Linked DNA regions of Macaca mulatta. The protein of the gene in region 2 interacts with the protein of the main gene of each other region in a pairwise test. Links are inferred from orthologs where the notes say so. Each region holds a gene or a part of one and is shown on either strand. Other genes may lie near its edges.

Region 1 (3,666 bases), on a different chromosome or scaffold from region 2:
CCAGCCTGTTTGAGTTAAAGCAAAGTTCAAGGCTACTACTGAATTAGCAGAACTGTCTTGTTTTTGCCATTTACCATATGTTCACTGGTGCTGCCTTCCTGCTGCAGTATAATCATTTTCTCAAATCACTTGCCGCTTAGGACAAGATCAGCATTTTCTTGATCTTGTTCTGTATTTGTTCCTGATTTTCTACTGTAGCACCACTTAAGAAATGAACCTATCACAGGAACTCCCTTTGGATAAAATAATGTGACTCCCACACACTGGAAATAATCATCTACTTCATTTGTTCTTGATATGCTTCCTTATGAATTTAGAACTAAGGGATCCAGGATTAGCTGTAACTCTGCTTGAAAAATATTTTACTACTACTAAGTATTCAGGAATCTTTGTTATCAGTAGGTGGTGGTAGTGATAGAGAAGGGAGCTTTGATCACTAATCTCTCAGACTGTGGCCAGAATGGTGATGCTTAAGCCAAGTATGAATGGCTATTAACATAACGAGGTTAGGGAAGGAGTGCTGAGAAGTGCTTTGCAGCAACACTCACAGCTTGTGTGATGATGCAGAAGAAAATCTGATCATGTTCATCCTGCTTTGACAACGAGCCTTGCCCATTGGAGATTGTTCAATCAATAGTAGACCTAAAAAAAAATCAACTTGTTGCTTTCATCTTTTTATTGATAGCATAGCCAGAGCTACCGAAATGATTTACGGGATTCTAGCAAATTAATAAATACAGTAATTTGATTGTAAAAGAAAACATTCTATTTGGACATTTTAGTAGAAATTGCTAGAAGGCAGGAGCTCCTGGCATACATTCTACTTGGATAGAAGAGAAGATAGCACAGGAGGAGAACTGGACAGTCCAGGTATAGACTGTTGAGATTAGGGATTCAGCAGAAAGCGAAGCAAATGTTCTGATTGTTCTTTTGAGGTACAAACCCTGAAGAGTCAAGACATTAAAAATAAAAAGCAACTGAACTGGGTAGCTTAACTTAGGCAAAAGGAATAAATATTTGGCAACATTTTGACTATTTGGCAGTTCTGTAAAATAACTGCCAATCTGAGATTAGTTTCTTCAGAAATAGGGAAGCTGCAAAACGTTGCCTTTCTTATGCCATGAAAGACAGGGCAGACAAAGGTAAGAAAGCTGCTCCGTGGGCTCCTTGTACCAGCACCAACCAGCAGCCCTTGACAGCACAGATGGCATGAGTGTAAGGGCTATCCTTAGCATAAGGAAAAGACGGTTATAAGCTGAGAAGACTGAAAGAAGAATGGAGCTATAAAGAGAAGAAAATAGCATAAATAAGAAGGAAACATGAAGAATATCTTAACTTTCAGTCTTTCTCCATTTCTTGATGTCTAATGAGGCAAAAAATAACTGGGCAAGGACCACCAAGATGAAGAAGTTACATAAAATGACACAATGAAGTTGAGTGCAATAATACAACTGTTGACTGACTTTCCAAAACCATGGTGATCAGTACAGTATCATCAGTGTTACTGAGGATTTTGTTTCTGCCTCATTATAACTCACTTCCATGTATTTTGTCAGTATAGTAAGTATATTTAAGCACTCCAGTGACAATTATGACAATAGTTTCTGGAAGAAATCTATGACTATAGCTTTGGGAAGCACACAATATGAAAAGGGAATTTCCCCTAAAGACAAGGAATGCAGGCAAATTCAACCCCTTAAGAACAACAACAAAAAAGGTAAAAGATTTAGAAAGACTGATGACAGTGAGGCAGGCACATTTTCCTCCTTTTGCTGAACTGGGGCATGAGACATTTAGGTTAACCATGGCTTAACTGGTGTTGGGTAAGCTTTATATTATAAAACATTAAGATGGCAAAGGTTTCACTTAAGTTTTTCTTTTACTACTTTAATTTGCTTAAAAGCACAAATGCTTGTGCTTGCAGTAACTTCCTGAAAGCAGAAGTAATGTTCCCTTTTACTACCTTAATAAAGCATTTGCCCCTGTGATACAAATGATTTTTTTACTGTGCTAACAGCTGAACCAGTGGCACAAAATTGAGATGGTATTTACTGCAGCAAGGTCCCTGTAAATCAAATAAGCTTTACATAAAAATCTTATTTATAAAAAATACAATACCAAGTACAGAGAGAATGGAGCATGGAGCAGCAGTGCTCCCTGCCAGGGCCATGTGGAAGTGGCTTTTGCTACAGTGCTTGCTTAATGGCACAAGTGAAAAGCTGAATAAGGCAAACACTTGAAGAGGCAGTTTTCTGTAAACTTCTGGGGGTGGGGGGAATTTCCTCTCTTGGGACAGATACTGGTTTGGGATGGCTAAGATCACGTGTGATATTTGGCTGCACCTGACACATCAGAGATTTAAGATAGCTTCTGCTGGATGAGACCAGTTAACTCCTTTTAGGAGAGAGGTTATCACTATAGCTTTCTGCCTTTACTGTTACAATGTGCAGCCGTCAGATGGTATTCTCCTATGGAAAAAAAATCACCTCCAACATCTTCCTAAGTGAAAAGATACAAAATAAGCTAAGTCACTAAAAGGTTTCCTTAGCTTAAAGCTCCTTAAGAATCCTACATTGATAACTAAGCAACTTTGTTAGCGGTGTGTAGCTAGACACAAATGCTTTAACTAGAATATCTATTCCCACCCACTTGGTACCTAATAGTAATACATCATAATGACACTTGGAAAACAAACTGGTCTTGAGAAATTTTGGCCTCTTCTCATGTCCTCACTTGGAACTTTCCAGCTTTCGTGACGTATTTGACTCCTTTAAATGGCTTATATTTCTCCCCATACATGTCCAAACGGTTCACTTTTAAGCCTGTGTCAAAAAGAATGAAAAAGAATAAATTATCATCATCCCAACCAATATGTTAGCAATGAGCACTATATGGTAAATCTGACATTAACCAGTGTCCCTTCCACCATTTGGAAGAAATGTCTCTTCTATCATTTACAAATTATTGCACTTTGATGGTATGGTTTTGGTTAAGATTCACACACAGGCAGGGAATGTCTGTGAAGTATAATTCTACTTTCTATAAATATGAATAACTCCCTTTTTGGTGCTTGAATGAGGGCAGAGGTGAGGAGAAGCTGTTTGAAATAAGGTGTTCTCCAAAATCATTTGGTTGATGCCTGGGAGATGGCCCCACCAAGCACAGTGTAAAAGGCAAATGGGCTACTGCTCTTTCTTTTCTTTTTTTTTTTTTTTCTGAGACGGAGTCTCGCTCTGTTGCCCAGGCTGGAGTGCAGTGGTGCAATCTTGGCTCACTGCAAGCTCCGCCTCCCGGGTACACGCCATTCTCCTGCCTCAGCCTCCCGAGTAGCTGGGACTACAGGCGCCCACCACTACGCCTGGCTAATTTTTTGTAGTTTTAGTAGAGACGGGGTTTCACCGTGTTGACCAGGATGGTCTTGATCTCCTGACCTCGTGATCCTCCCGCCTCGGCCTCCCAAAGTGCTGGGATTACAGGCGTGAGCCACCGCGCCCGGCCAAAGGGCTACTGCTCTTTCTAGAGAGGGAAACTTTTGTTACTCTTCTAAGTGCCTAATAATTGAGCTTGCAAAACTCAATTACCCTTAACTACAAGTCAACCTTATCCTTACCTGAAATAGCAAGCTGCTGGATCTTAAACTGTATATTGAGGCTCGGATTCTCTTCT
Region 2 (4,314 bases):
CTTTTGGAGGAATCAACGTGATTTATACCCAAAACTTAAGATGGCATTTTCTCATGAATAATACTCTCTTATAACTCTGAATCAAGCAGTGAAATTCAATCAAGCAGTAAACATCTTTTAAGTGGAAATATTGTCTAAACGGGATGACAAAACAGAACTCTGAATTCTTTAAGTCCAAACATGAAACAGACATTCTTAAATGATGTAACTAAATACAGTAACCAAGTTGTCTCTTGAAATTCAACTTTAGGAATGCCAAAAATAATAGGCCACCTCTCAATATCCGCAAAGATACTGGTATGTGTAGGTTTTCTAGGAAAGTAATAAAAAGCAACAGTTTGGGAGATCTTTTTTCTTCAATTACTAATTGTAACACTAGAAAAATTACAACCTAGGCTGCACACAAACGCAACTCAAATGGGCAGTTTACTAAACGTCTGTCATAAGAAAGCCATCTAGTGTTAACGTTTAGAATGGAGACTGCAGACAAAAGAGGCAAAGAAAAGAAAAATCTGTGCGACTATTTTGAACTTCACTGAGCAAAGCCATGAGAACCACCAAGATTCTTTGAGGGTTTTTTTCCTTGATTTTTGAAAAAAGCCATCCTTGTCAAAACCCAGTCTCAATCTAACCAAATCAAAAATGTCTACAATTTTATTTTGACCAAAATCGTGTTTTGTTGAGCATAATTCCGTGACCAATGCACTTGATTTTTTCCAATACTCAGGCCAGAGTCATCTTGGGCTAAATTAATTTAACTGAAGCAGGTTAATGATGACAAATATCTCCCAGAGGAGTAATGCCAAGTTGTTCTCTCTTTCCGAGAAGCCTCGGCTCCTCTTGTAGATGATGAGCCGAAATTGATTCTTTGGGTTTGCGGCACGGCTGAAAATTAATCTGTAGGTTTTCCTGGGGATATTCCTAGGACGTGGGCAAACTACCCTCACTGACACGGGAAGACCCGGGGAGGCACAGGAGCTGGCAAAGTGGGAAGAAAGGTCGCGCTGAGTGAGAAGGGCGCTCGCCCGGCTGCTCACGGTCTTACAAAGAGGGATCCGTCCCGGTGAGGGCGCGCGCTCGGGGCGCACCCCTTCTAGAAGGGGAATTAGCCCCGCAGCAAGTTCGGCGTCAGCCCGCCAGGCGCGCCGGGGGAGCTGCGTCGGGCAACCGCGAGCCCTTCCAGAGAGCGTTAGTCAGAGCGGAGTTCTGGGCACCTGGAGGAGGTCCTCCTCAGTGCCTGTGTCGCCGACACGGGAATAACCTTTCAGACGATCGATAACTTGGAGAGAACAGGCGGCGACGGCTCCTCTCCTAGCCTGGGCCCGGGAGCGCGGGTGCATCTGCGTCTACAAGCCGGACCCTGCCCCGTGCCCCTCGCACCCCCGCGCCCCTCGCCGCCGTCAGTCCCCCGAAGCGCCCCGAAGGGCATCCCCTTCCCCTTCGGGACAGTCACCGCCTGGCCGTAGCCATCCCGAACCTACCCTCGCCACGCTGCCCGTCGGATTCCCCGACACGAACCTTCGCAACACCGTCCGCCGGGACCTGCTACAGCCTGTGCGCGCCGGGTGGCGCGTACCCGGGCTGCCGCCTCGCCGCCCGCCGCTGCCCCGGGCTGCCCATCGGCCCGGACTCTCCCCGCGCCGGGCTCCGGCGGAGGCGGCCCGGACCCGCCGGCTGCGGCTGGAGCTCTCGGCCTGCACTCGGGCGGCCGGCGGGGGCGCGGCGCTCTTCCTCCGTCCTCCTCCTCCTCTCGCTCCGCCGGCTCCTCCCGGGCTCCCAGTCTGCCGCGCCGGCTCCCGATGCCACCGCCCGCCCGCCAGGCGGCACCGCCCCCCGCCCGCTCTGTGGGCTCCCATTGGCCGCCGCCTGCAGGCCCCCTCGGCTCCGCCCCACGATTGGGCGCGGGCGCCGTCAGTCTCACCGCCCGCCGGGCACCAGGCTCAGCCGGTGCGCTGTTCCCAGGCCCCGCGGCGCGCGGGAGCGGCGCGTCCGGGAGGGGCCCGAACGCCTTTCTTGGGGAGGGGGCTGTGGAGCGCAGCATGAGCGGCGCTGGGCGAGCTCGAGGGCCGGGCAGCCTACCTGGACTCAGGCTTATAGAGAGCTGTCGCCGTCCTCGCCGGTACTCGCTTTCGTCCCTCTGAGGAATAAGTTAAAAACCCCGAGTCTGGTTCTGAGCCTTCCTCTGGCGCAGGCGCGACCCCACCCGGCCCTCCCGTCGCCCAACTTGGGACAGACGTGGCGGCCGGGCGTTCGGATCCGTGAGCCTCGGCCGCTGGGGCTACATACACAGCCCAAGACGCCACAGAATCGCCGAGGCCGCGCAAACGCCCAAACGGCCGCATCTCGAAGTGATCCCATATGAAGAAGACAGCGCGAGGAAGCAAGACCCTGCTGTGTGCCGGCCCCCGGAGGGCGCCCCGGGCCCGGTGGGTCGGAGGGTGGGGAATCACAGAGAAACACGCAGGCAGTAAAATCTTAGGAGGACAGGGGGTGCCAGCGTGCAGGAAATGCTGCTAAGAGACCTTTAGAAGCCAGGGAAAACGGAGAGACCAGCAGTTCCAGGCACCCGCATGCCAGCCCGGTCCGCTCAGCCCTTCCTCCCTGCCCTCCAGGCAGCGCTCAGCCCACGGTAGAAATGTCTTGGATCGTTTTTCCGACGAGGAAAAATTGAACTTTTTATACCCAACGTTTCTACTTTCTTAGAAATGTTGACTCACCTTTGAGGAAGCATTACTTGAAACTATTACTGTAAATTGCTTGACATTTGAATTAGATGCAGAAAGATTAAAGGGTCTCAGAAGAATCTTTTAAGCTAGACTGGAATTGACTCTGCCTAAATGGACAGCAACAGTCATCTATACGCAGAAATAATAAAGCAGGTGGAGGGAGCCTCTAACTTACCTTCCAGCGACACCGTAGGATTTCCTGAGCAGACCTTTTTGTCAGAGTTTTGAGCTGGGTTCCCAGAGACTGGATTGGGGCTTTCAGTTCCTCCCCTTCTAGAGTCAGACTTCTTCCTGAAGAGAGAATGTTATCTCTACTTCCCTATCACAAACACTTCCTAGAACACAGCCCTGTTAAAAGTTAAATACAGGCGGTCCCTCCCACACTATATTTCTCTGTGATCTGAAGCTGTACACATTATACAATCTTTTGTATCTCTTTAAATTATAGGTATAATCTGTGGGATTAGGTATAACTAAACAGGTCAAAAAGCAATCCTGTGACATAATACAATTCCTGAGCACTCCAGGTTTTGATGAGTTTCCCAACTGTCACCCCATTATCAGCATTTACAAGATTGTCATGTATTCATTTAACAAACATTCGTGGAGATCCTCTGATGTTCCAGACCATGCTAGGTGCTGGGAATATAAAATGCACAGGACATAAGGCTCGGCTCTTCAAGAGCTCACCATCTGACAGGTGTATTCTCATTCATTGTAGATACTCTACAAGAGATATCAACATTATCTCCTATGTACTCAACAAAACCCTACAGGAGCAGCACCCGTGAAGGAACTTTTCCTGGGAGTGCCTAGGGAGGACATACTCACGTTTCACCTTATTGCACGTTTCATTGTCTGTAAGGGCCTTGAGGAGAAGAACTACATCTCCTCCAGCATTTTGATCCCTAAAGCACAAATCGACTGCAGCTCGGAGCAGATCCTGGATCAGTGGGTGGTCATTGAGGTGGGTCTTGCTGCTACAGCTGCAAATGTCCATTGTCTAATAGATGAAGAGGAACCCACTCCTTAATATCCAATACATAATGATCATACATGGAAGTCTGACCAGACACTCTTCGATGACGGTGCTAGCCGCAATTCTCACCCTCTCACCTTCCCATCCCACTTCTTGTGCTTTGCAAACTAAAACTGAAATATCCTAAGTCCCACTACCAAGGTTGACAGTATTTTTTTTAACGCCTGTAATTGATTCTGTGGAGTAAATATTTGTGTGCGTTTCTGAAGGTCCATGGGACTTTCTGACTTTCCCAGAACTCCACGTCACATGAGGTTGGCCTTCATCGGAATATTCCTGCCTTCAGCAGGTGCTGAGTGAGCCCCTTTGCTGTGCAGAACAAAGGTGATACATACAGGCAAGAGCAAAACCCATAAGGTATCCACCTCACAGTCAACCGCGAGAGATCTTCAAGAGACACATCTCAGGAATGATTCTGAACCTTCTTCACCAAATAAAATATTCCAGAAATAGTATTAGATTTTAATGTGTGTGTCCTTCCTTGCTAGTCTTCCTACCAGCAGCCCTCTTGTTTCTTGCCTTTTTAGGCAAACAGCCTGAAACTTAGCG

What was found.
Region 1: the proteins of SIPA1L2 (region 2) and AP3M1 interact in binary tests that used the Homo sapiens proteins (3 or more experiments, as listed by UniProt). The two-hybrid records come from large-scale screens. The link is inferred for Macaca mulatta from reciprocal best matches to the Homo sapiens genes SIPA1L2 and AP3M1.

Annotation. Positions count from the first base shown.
Region 1 is NC_133414.1:75,500,671-75,504,336, reverse strand, and holds the end of AP3M1 (AP-3 complex subunit mu-1), read right to left. Parts: coding exon 3,611-3,666; intron 2,823-3,610; coding exon 2,722-2,822; 3' UTR 662-2,721; downstream 1-661. UniProt on the Homo sapiens protein: Part of the AP-3 complex, an adaptor-related complex which is not clathrin-associated. The complex is associated with the Golgi region as well as more peripheral structures.
Region 2 is NC_133406.1:16,421,793-16,426,106, reverse strand, and holds the start of SIPA1L2 (signal-induced proliferation-associated 1-like protein 2), read right to left. Parts: upstream 3,060-4,314; 5' UTR 2,902-3,059; intron 2,629-2,901; exon of another isoform or gene 2,427-2,628; coding exon of another isoform or gene 2,176-2,426; exon of another isoform or gene 2,080-2,175; intron 2,071-2,079; coding exon of another isoform or gene 2,040-2,070; intron 1,784-2,039; exon of another isoform or gene 1,482-1,783; intron 1-1,481. Other genes in the region: uncharacterized protein LOC144337349, read left to right, coding at 2,040-2,070, 2,176-2,426, 3,448-3,759.